Linked DNA regions of Arabidopsis thaliana. The protein of the gene in region 2 interacts with the protein of the main gene of each other region in a pairwise test. Each region holds a gene or a part of one and is shown on either strand. Other genes may lie near its edges.

Region 1 (5,210 bases), on a different chromosome or scaffold from region 2:
AATCTTCAATTGTTTTTGAAAAGAATGAATTGGGTATCGAGACTTCACAGTTACATTCCAGTCAGAGCTAATGTAACTAAAGGAATTTGAGCTAGGAATTTGGTCGAACACCTTCTATGCACCATTTTATGTAGATAAAGGACAGACCTTTCCACTTCCAATTAACAGAGCCGCAAACATCATGACGGAGACGAAATCGAAAAACAAGCAAGTAACTTCGAATACAAAAGATACAACAAGAATTAATAAATCGAAATTACTTACCACTAACAAGTGCTTCAACAACGCTTTAGACGATCGACTCTGTAAAACTTCTTTCAGAAACAGAGCTCTTCTTACTCGGAAATGGCTGCTTGGGTTTATCCTAAAAAGTCTCACCCGGTCAACTTCGGTTCAAATACCGGTATTTCCAGGTTTATATCAAACCTAACCGCACCCCAATAAAACTAACAAAGTCGGGTTTTAGTGTTTTAGATTCACGTCGTGAATGATCTAAAGCCTAGTTGGTGGTGGTATAAAGAGAGAAGTTGAAATGATCTCTCAAATTGGTAGATCAATTAATTCATTACAGCAACATGCTTACATTGTGACAGTCAAGCAACACGATAAAACCGGAAACCTTCAATTTCATAGGCAAATCCAAAAGTTTTAAACTCTAAAATCCACTCAAACCAGAATGAGTCAAACAACAACAAGAAGCAAACAACAACAACAAGAGTCTTCAAGACACTAAAACTGAAATTAGGAAACAACAACATAACAGACACTACTAGGAATAACAATAATCATCCCGAGCCATTACATCAAACCAAGGCTTATTATTACTTAATCTGCCTCGGCATAAGCAGTTTCGAGATGAGCTTGTTCGGCTTCTCTAACTTCTTTCTCAGTCTTCCTTCCTTTCTTGGACTTGTAGTAAACACTCATGAACGTTCCAATAGCTCTATACTTCTTGCGGCACTCCTCATACAATTCACCATTAAACATTCTCCAGAAGCTCTTCTCGTCGAGCTCAGACACCGCGTACTGAGGCTGGAATCCATGGTTCTCTATCAGCCATTTCTCCATCCTACGCACTGCTTCTGATCCATCAAACTCTTCACCTCTTAGGACACAGCCAGGTGCGTAGTAGACTCCAACATCAGTGTACATCTGTGCATCTTCTGTGTCTCCTTGTCTGTTTTCGTACTCGAAGCCTGGCTCTGGGTAGATTTGGCCTTTGATTGGCTGCTTGAAGAGTTTGTGTGGGCAAAGCCAAATTGGATACACCTGAAAGAGAACAAACAATTCATGATTTTGTTAATAACATCAAAAGAAACTTTAACTAGAAGATGATCAATCATGAAACCGAGCTTTTAGTTTTACCTCCATTTCGCGGTGGACCCATTCGAGTGCATCGCCAACCTTGTAAAGAGGAACAAGCATATCCTGAATAACATGCATATCATGGTAATAGTTCCTGATAGCTTCACCTTGAGTGGCCTTAAGAAGAGAGACCTTTGGAGGCATCAACCAACCTAAGAGGTACCTAAACCAGAACTGATCACCAAATGGAAGAATAAGCTTCCCTTCCCAGTACAAGCACCTTGTGTGCCTGTGGTAGTATTCACGAGTTGGGATGTACTCAACAAACTGTCCCTTTTTCAGGGCGGTCTGCGCGTGCTGGTAGAACCACGGCTTGAACCACCATCCCACATTGTTGATTTTGTTCCCTTTCTTCTTTGCCTCTTCTTTAGATGCATATGTTCCAACCATCATCACTCCTTCCGTTGGATTGTAAACCATGCCTTCGACGAAATCCGGGATTTTCGACTTGTCACCGTCTTTGGGAGCAAAAGAATCAATGTAACCTTGAGCTAAGGCTTGAAGATCACCCTTGACTGGTATGTAAGTGAGTCTCATGTACTCCTTGACTTTAATAAGCCTGATCTCAGCAGCTACAAGGAGTCCAAGAGTTCCTTGCGACCACGGGATTGCGTAGTAAAGATCAGAATACTCATTATCCCTTGTGGCGCGGACAAGCTCTCCACCCGCAAGAACAATCTCGTAAGCCTCAACGGTATCAGCAAACAAACCGTAGATGTGAGAGCTTCCTTCAATACCATATCCATTGATAAGTCCACCAACGGTAAGGTCATCAAGCTCAGCAACAACAGCGAGAGACAGGTTCATTGGGACGGTAGCACGGGAAATCTGTCCCATGTTAACAAGAGGCTCCACTCTAGCAGTCATCTTCTCCTTGTTGATCTCAAGGATGTTACGGAACTCCCCCAAGTCAACCTCGAAATGCCGGGCTCTCTTGTAGTCAACGTTCCTCATTCCAACAGCGATCCAGGGCTTACGAGCAGTGCAGACAAGCCCGTCCTTGGAAGCATCCCTACCCTTAAGCCTTTTGATGACTTTCTTGACATTCTCGTCGTGTTCCTTCTGACGTTTCTCAAAGGACTTGGACTCTGACCACATGTCCCCGAGGTAGATGAGGAAGTAGAATGTGGCTGAGAATGGAAGGACGATGAAGATGACAATGATCCATCTGAACTTGACAAAGTAATCAACCCAAGTCTTCTTCCTCTTGGGCCTCACAAGCGGTGTCTGAAGATCCGACATTTCCTCTCCTCACTGCATCAAACCAAAAAGAAAATCAAATCAACCAGAGTTTCAAAATCCATCACTGTAAAAGTCAACAAGGCCTAAGAAGTGAGCATAAATCTACCAGAATGTCAAAAATACTAAAGATTAGTTTCTTGAATCCAAAAAGAGTATAATAAGCACACATAAACACATACGTATACACACATGTGTATCAGTGTATGTGTATGAAATAAATCTGTAAGAAGAAGATAGTGTGGAGTCCATGGAAACAGAGAGCTAGTGAACAGAGAGACAAAAAGACATGAAGTTATGTTCTGAAAGAACAAGAACACAGAAAATGGTTATAATCTTTAGATCTACACATCTAGTATTCCTACAAAGCCATCAAAGTCTGTTTTCTACCACCAAAATAAATAAATAAAAGTTGGTGAGCAAAGTTTGAAACTTTGTTTGAAATTCTCCAAGACTGAGATGATTAAAATTAAAAAACCCACATAGTTCACTAGTGCGTGCTATGAAACAACTATGAACCAAGTACTGAGAGATCTAACGACAGGAAATGATAAGTCAGCGACTGAGACAGAGAGAGAAAGAGAGGTAGAGAGAGTACCTGAAGAATCCAAAGGAGAGAGAGAGTGAGAGGATGAGATGTGAAAGTGTCCCCAAGAGTGTGAGAGCATTTGTCTTTATAATAAAACGTGATTCAAGCCAGCCTGCTTCACTTGCATTTTTCGCTCAAAACAAGGTATTTTTTATTTCCCATTTTTTTATATAATTTTAAAATAAAAAAGGTAATAATAACGCAAAAATATAGAAATTAAGAAATATATAATGTATATTTTTCATGGGTTTGTATAAGTGGTTTTTCATATTTCTAAGTTTCTTTGTTGTTATCGCAATTAAAAATTCGATGTTAGTTGTAATGTTGATAAATCACATGTGTTATATTTATGAGCAATTTTTTAGTTTATAATTCTGATGTAAGAAAATAAAAATAAATTGTTTTTACTTATATCAGTATTTAATATATTTTTACCAACTCTTTTAACATTTAGAAATTATATGTAAATCGAACCTAGAGCTTAATTAGACATATCTTCCAAAATATAATTTCTTACTTAGCAGTTAGCATATAAAAGGAATATGAGGACAAATTCTTTGTAGGGATATTTTTTCTGAAAAGAGTTTACTGCTATAAATAGGTAAAAGCAAATAAATAAAAAAAGGCAACAAATCTTAGCAGTTTAAATTTCTTTTAAATAGAAAAATATATCTTTCTTTTGGTATGTAAATCACAATAAATTACAGGAAGACATGTGCCCAATGAAGGAAATGTAATTGTCCAATTCGTTTTTTTTTTAAATGCATTTTATGGGTTGATTGTATTGATTTTTGTTTTCTAAATGCTTTTAGCGAAACAGTCCTCCTACATGTTTGTTGATGTACCTAAAGCACATTCCATCCTCGTGAGGTTACTAAGCCGACGATCTTATATATTGTTTATTGGCAAAAAGTTCATTACAACTTTTCTTATCATAATAGTTATTACAACAATCTTTAACATTTAGTTTTGATATGTTATGATTGAAGCAAAAAAAGCACTGCCTAAAATATCTTGAAAACATTATACATTATGAATGCTAATGAGAGTTCCTTATATCTTTCTCTCAACTCTTAAGGGATCTTCAAATGAGTGTTTTTTTTAAGCCAAAACAATTGTGAATTAGTCATTCACTTTCATCTTATTCAGATTACAATGTAGTATTTTAGAAACTAATGTGTAGTAAAAAATTTTATATAAAATGCCTCTTATTTATATAAAAAAAAAAACTACGGCTGTGATGAGAAATGTTTTCCCAAATCCCAATAGCCATGCTTTTCATCAAAATTCATATATGAAATCATTTGTATCATTATCAGTGCCTACATAATACAGTAATAAACACACAAACTATCACGTTATTTGGTGAAAAAGGCTCTCAATATATAATTCTGTTACTGTAACCAATTATTTGATTTCCACCTAAGTATTTTAATAGTTGATTTAGAAAAGCAAATAAAATCATGATTTATTTAGAAAAATGGTTACACTTTAAAGTAATGAAGTGCTCAAAAAGTTTTTTTTGTCGCCAAAAAGTAATTATTTATTTATTTGACATAGAAAGAAAAAAAAAATTACAGGGATGATGGCCTGTCTGAGAAAATATCCAGCTCTTGCAAAATCTCTCATAAAATATATTTACTCTTTAAAATATGCCAACTAATTTCTTACTCACATTTACAGCTACAAATCATTTTTTTGTAGTATGGAAAAATAAATGTCTATTTGGCGAATCACACCTTTTGACATTGACAGTTTGACGTCAGTGAAAATTTGGTTGACGCTTGACAAAGTTTTAAACCGTTACAAGGTCGTGTAATCACACCAATGTTTACATTACAAGAAACACCAATTTGTTTATATATATATCCAAATACAAAGACATTACTCTTTGGTCCAACGCCAAATAAACCCATGCGTCATTTCTGCATCAACAAAAACCGTCTTTGTCCATTCCATTAGTACCTAAAAAAGTGTGAAGAAGCCAGAGACAACAACCCACATAAATTATGATTTG
Region 2 (6,272 bases):
ATATAATCAGTATGATTCTGCTATGTTTCCTAAGTTTAAACTAACCTTGGAGTTGTAGTCTCACCCTAACTATGGACTAATTCAGCACAAGAAAAGAGAAATCACCAGCAAGACGACGGCGCTCAGTTCTCACCATGGGAATGTCAATATCTTCCCGAGGAAATCCCTGCCATAAGCAAACGAATCAAAGGAGAAAATTAAGCAGAATTTTCGGTTAAGATTAGAGAAGAGTGAGGACGCAGATACAGTACCTCCGAGTCGATGAGATTGCCGGAGAGACCAGGACCACCGGGATTGCAGAGACGTTCGACAATAGAGTTCATCTCCGTCTCCATGGCTGTTCTCTTGTCCATTAGAGCCATCGTCTCCGCTTTCAGATTCGCGCCAACCATCTTCTCTTCTCTTCTCCAAGTCCGATCGATTCTTAATTCTTTCACCGAAATCAATCGCAACTTCTCTCTACCTTGGGACCGGAGCATGTCACCGTGAATATATTGTGGGCTTCATTAAAAGGCCCAATAGACCCATTCTTTAACCGGCATATGATCCTAACCGTACATTTATTAAATCCAACGGCTATAATCTCTTTGTTTCTACACTTCATATATTAATTTTACAGACAGCACAAGCAGCTTTAAAGCCAAGCAATATTTGTTTATCTCAACCGTAATGATTCCCATAAATTATAAACAATAATGTCTACAAGCTGCTCAATCATCAGTCAGCAGTGAAATCAGGCTCAGGAGGCTTCTGCAGCTTCACCAAATCCCTAATCTTTGTGTTCCGGTTCCTGTGAATGGTGCGAAGCGCATTAGCCGCAAACTTAGTGGCAAGAAATGCAGCCCCAATGGAGTATGAAGGTCCAGCGGTTGAGCTGGACACAGCCGCGGCCTCGGCTTCTGCCTCTTCCATTTTCTTCCTCTTGCAGTATCTACGCCAGGCAGCCTGGATGAAACAAGCAGCCCAAGTCCTCCATTGGTGAGAGTAAAACCTGAATGTGTGCTGCACTTGCCTGCTATGTAAGCGCCGGAACTGGCTTGCTACAAACTTCAGCTCCTCTGAGGTCAGCGCAAACGCCTCTACTTCTGTCAGAGCTTTCACGGTCCTCGTGGAAGACGGGAGATTTACACCTGATTTTGGATCCAATGCCCATGTCAGAAGCTCTTCCCCGCAGAATTCTCCTTCTTTCAGGAGACTGCGGTTGAAGAAACCGCTCCTGCCTCCATCTGTTGTCACACTCTCGAGGCGACCACGTATTATGAATAGCATCTCGTCTACAGGATCTCCTTCCCGCACTAAGTAGGTACTCTCTGTGAACAAGCATGGTTTCAGCCGCATACAGATCGCATCCAGCAGCTTGTCGTCCATGCTCTTAAACAATGGAACCTAATATTATGGTAAAAACGTATCATGAACCAAGCTAGCTTGTCGATGGTCAAGAGCTCGTTTTAGTTATGAGCCGACTGTTATTCAATGGGTCCTAGATGTTCAAAAGGGTGTGTGATCTATGTGAGAAGCTTGAATAAGGAACAGCGGGGAGAACTTACCCTTCGCACTAAAGCCAGACAGAGATGCCGCTTGATGTCTCTCCGGAGATCCTTGGGAAGATTCTGAACGAGATACTCTTCATCTACACCACGTGTCTCCAACCATTTATACTGGTCATAGCGCCTCACACGCTCCCTAAGATCTTGTGGTAACATTCTGTGATGCATCCATTGTTCTGAATCACGCCTCTTTACTCTCATTTCTTCAAGCCGGATGGTAAGAGATTGGAGATATGTCTGTCCCAAGATTGCAAAATGTTGTTAGATAGTCATTATGCAGAGGAAACAAATTATGCATGATGCTTCCATTGAAAGAGCTTACAAGAAATTTCTAATGATCACGAAAGTAGCTAAGGTTGCACCATAATTACTCACCTGCATGTTTCCAATGAGAAGAGCAAAGAGGATCAACCCAGAAATGGCGAGAGATATGGAAAATATAATCTCCATTGGGTATGTACTGGTTTCAAGCCCTTGTCCAAGTGTACTGTGGTGCAACAATGAGAAGTACTATATGAATATCTGAAACTCATAGACGCATAACTTTGATAAAGGAGCCGAGTTTAGTGAGAATTGGTAAGATCAAAGCAATAGTCTTTCGACTGAATAGTGATAGAACATGGTTACCTCAAGTTCTGAAGGCCCCACCACAAACAATAACAATATTTTACGATGAAGTTTTGGGACGAGACAATTCCAGACGATAAAGCCTGTGTATAAATCCCAAAGTCAAATGGAGGATTATTATCATCGAGGTCAGCTCGGCACTTGGACTTAAGAACAGATTCCTTGGCTCTGTTCCAAACAGCATAGCCGTCCATGTTTTGATTGCCACAGTACAAGAAATCTGTGCTGCAATTCCCTGCATCTATACAGGCCTCCTGCCAGCAGGCGTCGTTACGTTCTAAGGCTAAAAGGTACCAAAAAGCTCCAACTATCTGCAAGATACGAAACAGTGGCTCAATCAAAATAGCACTTACCAAGTCAATACTATTATTGAAGAGTAAATAAGCTATACAATCAGAGTTGCTCGTCATAAGAAACTTGACATTTGTGATCCCATGAGGCATGAACATCAACTAAGATAAAACGAAAGGTTGCATAGAACATCAAAGGTAAGCATAGACGGCTTAACCAGAAAGCTCAATAAGCTCCTTTACATGTCTTAGGAAACTAAACATTTGAACATAAGTTCATAACAGTGAAACGGATATGCAAATATTTCCTTGTTTTGCACTTTTGGTGCCACAGTCACATAACTCATGGTGAATGGGCAAGCATTGAATAGTACAAGCAACGTCTTAAAATGAAAAAGGTATATAAACTCACATGACTTGCAAGCATATATAAAAGCAGATAATAAGCGGCACCAGCCCAAGCCGTTTCAGCAAAGACACCTGCTGTCCTTTTCAATTCTGACGTCAAGGGTAAGACACGTAGGAATCGCGGTATATACTGGACCAAAACAATGAAAAGCAAGGCCTGCTTTGTAGCCAATACATCCGACCCATTTGAACTTTGCAAGAACCTCCAAACTACAATCTGCACATACACAAAATGAGTACTGTAAATCTAGAACTAGAAAGCGCTTGACAGAGATGTCTGATCACCAACTACTGGCTACTGCACCCTTTCAACAAATTAAGCAATGATGTTTTCCAACACACAATTTACTGAAATGATCAAAACTTATATTAACCAACCTGAGGGAGAGGAAGTACTGAGAGAAAGTCAATAATAAACCAACGTTGTAGATATCTCTTTGCTATCTGTGCAGGATCAATCACGAGTTCACCTCGCCCAAAGACCCGTGATGAAGGTGCAATATAAGCAGTCCTAAGCTGGAGAGCCATGTGAGCGAGATAAAACACATCGATAAAAGTCCGCAATGTACTTGCTGTGATAGCCAGTTTTCTGTCAATACCCAGGCACTTGGACTCAGCATTAATCACAGGAAGATAGAAGAAAAAAGGGTCCACAAACACTGAAAGAATACATGACGCAACGAATAATTTATTGCAATACAAAAGGAATTTATCCTGAGGATCAAATATCTTCTTTTCAGATACTTTAAGGTCTTCTGGGAACACTGCTCGATAAACACCGAAACCAAGTGAACGTCCGATCGACTTAAGCCCTTTGGAACCCTTCTGGATACCTTTCTTGAAGGATCTAGAAGTTTCATTGCTTGCATGAATAGGATGAAGTTGTCCACTGAAATTGGAGGCGTAGTTCTGTTGGAAGGCTACAGATGATGATGGTAACCTAGAGTCCAAATCATCCACCCTATAAAAGGTATGAACAACACCACTTTCAGATTACTATGCACCAACAAGCTATAGTTCAGTACAATCACACTATACTTTCATAAGGAAACAAATCAGAAACAACCATTGCCAAATCAATACGTTTCTCACATTCAAACTTCAGATCTTTGTATTAAAACAAAAGGATGCAGCACTAACCTCACAAAGTTTTCTCTTTTCCCTGCCATGATTGCTTACAAGGAATTCAGAACTCAAGAGCCTTCCAAGATCACTTGCTCAAATCGATGAAGAAAGAGCACAGCTTTAAGACTCTAATCATTAAGCAAGCTGCATCATCCCAAAATAAGACTAAAATACTTAACCTTTGAAAGACCCAAGTAAAAATAAGTCATAACCATATGAAGTTGTCAAGTTGTGCTAAAATGAAGATTAGACTAACTCTGACCAGTATGAAGCGAAGCAACATCATTACATCAACTCAAATGGATAAAAAAGGAAAAAATTTGATGAATGATGGACACCGACACATAGTAACAAATTTAAAGAGGTAGAGCTAGAGAACCAATCTTAAATTTCTCGCATAGAAAAAAGGAGAATTGAATCTTAGAACAAAATTAGAAATAGAGCAGACGTGAACTTGCTGAAGCAAGAGAAAGAGACAAAGACAAAGGCTTACATGGCTACACGGTTTCAAGGGTCCCGTTGATGAGGATAACCAGAGGAACAACTACGAACATGAAAAAGATGAAAGTGGGTATAAAGCTACCAGACAAGTGGTATCGACTTGACACAGACAAAAAAAAGAAAATGGCAACGAGAAAAGATGAAAACGAAGCAAATGACATTTTTACCCTTGATAATAGGATTAGCGTGGATTGTTTTTTTTGTCCTTCAAAAGTCAAAAAGACCTGGGCTGTGATATTATTATACAACACAAGGTGGAATGGAGGATTTTGTACAAGAAGAAGTTTACAAGGTCTTCTACATATCAAACAACCATCTCAGCTTCTTTCACACTCGAAGGAATTCCAACCTCCAGTCTCATTGTAGCTCTATAATGCTCAGGTACAACAGCGCCAGCCTGAGCACATATCTCCACAACAGCAGGTGCTTGCCCGTAGAAGCTTCGTAGCTCTCGCTGCATCGGTGGCCCATTCACATCAGGAACATGCCAAACATATCTTGGCGGTATCAAGTCGTCAAGTACTGCAGATTGCCAACCATGCTGGCCATTCCGCTGTTGGTGCTTGAATGCACCACAGTTCTGGGCCTTGTGTCCCGTTGGACCTACGTGAACCTCTGGACAGTACCCACAGACCCTAACCCTGTACATCCTCATCAGCTTTTTGGCTCCTGCTCTCATTTCTTCCCAGGCCTGTAATGTTTCTTCGGCTAAGGAGACTGTTTCTTCTTCGCTAGATGGGGGAGTGATCTCTGAGACAGGTAACTCAGTTAACAATGGCACTGGAGGAGGCTGAGGCTCTGGATCAGGCAATTCAGTTTCATCTGCATCAACAAACTCGCTTTTGCCAATGCGGATAATCGGTTTTCTTCTCCTTTTTGCTGGAAATTCGGGTATTTCAACGCCGCCCTGAATGCAGAGCTCAACTACAGCAGGAACTCGGGGAATCGAGAATCTTTCATCATGACGGATACGCTTGCCAAGGCGGTCAAAAAGGTGATAGGCTTCAAGAGGAACAATAACGTCCTCAATAACCGAGTTAGTCCATTCATGAAGACCTTTCCTTTGGGAAGTATTGGGACCTTTACACGACTTAAATGGATGCCCATAAGGTCCAACATGAATCTCATTGCACCACCTAAGAGACCAATCATACAACATCAAAAAAAGGCCATACTCAAAACAGACCAAAAATGAAACAAGAAGAAGAAGAGAATTTTTACCCACAAGCATTAACACGAACAACTTTCATAAGCCGGTGGAGATTGTTGATCAATCTGATTCTTGCATTGTATACTTTATAAGCAAGAGGCACAAGGCTCTTCACAACCATACCATTTTTAGGCGGAGGTAGAGGTCTCTTAGGTTTGTCTTTGTTGTTCTTGACTCTCTCCCTCGCAGCTCGTCTCAGGTCCACAATAGGGACTGGGAAAGGTTTCTTCTCTCGCCTTGTGTACTGCTTAGGTAAGTCTTCATTCTGAGGACGATCATTTCTCACAACTAATGGCAGAGATCGACGCTCTTTACTAAGCACAACTCTTGAATTCAACTGAAGGCTAAACTCAATGCTACTTCCCTGCACAACATATCCGCACATAACAGTAAACATTGACTCTCTACTTCAAAGGGAAGCAACGAAGTGTGGTCTAATTCTAAGAACCAAAACAACAACGAAGCAGAGTCTGGAGAATTGGATGATACTGACTAGTAAAGGAATCTGACCTGAAGAGAAGGAGAGAACCCAAATCTATAAAACGTGTTGGGATTAAGAAATTG

What was found.
Region 1: the proteins of CNGC5 (region 2) and DWF1 interact in a protein complementation assay, tested with the Arabidopsis thaliana proteins (one large-scale study listed by BioGRID).

The regions. Positions count from the first base shown.
Region 1 is NC_003074.8:6,879,010-6,884,219, forward strand, and holds DWF1 (cell elongation protein / DWARF1 / DIMINUTO (DIM)), read right to left. Parts: upstream 3,307-5,210; 5' UTR 3,203-3,306; exon of another isoform or gene 2,620-3,202; 5' UTR 2,608-2,619; coding exon 1,366-2,607; intron 1,270-1,365; coding exon 826-1,269; 3' UTR 515-825; downstream 1-514. UniProt on the Arabidopsis thaliana protein: Plays a critical role in the general process of plant cell elongation. Involved in the synthesis of campesterol, an early precursor of brassinolide.
Region 2 is NC_003076.8:23,454,885-23,461,156, reverse strand, and holds CNGC5 (cyclic nucleotide gated channel 5), read right to left. Parts: upstream 4,593-6,272; 5' UTR 4,491-4,592; exon of another isoform or gene 4,260-4,490; intron 4,142-4,259; 5' UTR 4,042-4,141; coding exon 4,013-4,041; intron 3,834-4,012; coding exon 3,251-3,833; intron 3,090-3,250; coding exon 2,877-3,089; intron 2,486-2,876; coding exon 2,175-2,485; intron 2,035-2,174; coding exon 1,923-2,034; intron 1,785-1,922; coding exon 1,548-1,784; intron 1,387-1,547; coding exon 718-1,386; 3' UTR 536-717; downstream 1-535. Other genes in the region: AT5G57950 (26S proteasome regulatory subunit), read right to left, coding at 106-166, 252-479; APO2 (APO RNA-binding protein (DUF794)), read right to left, coding at 4,803-5,634, 5,720-6,072, 6,219-6,272. UniProt on the Arabidopsis thaliana protein: Probable cyclic nucleotide-gated ion channel.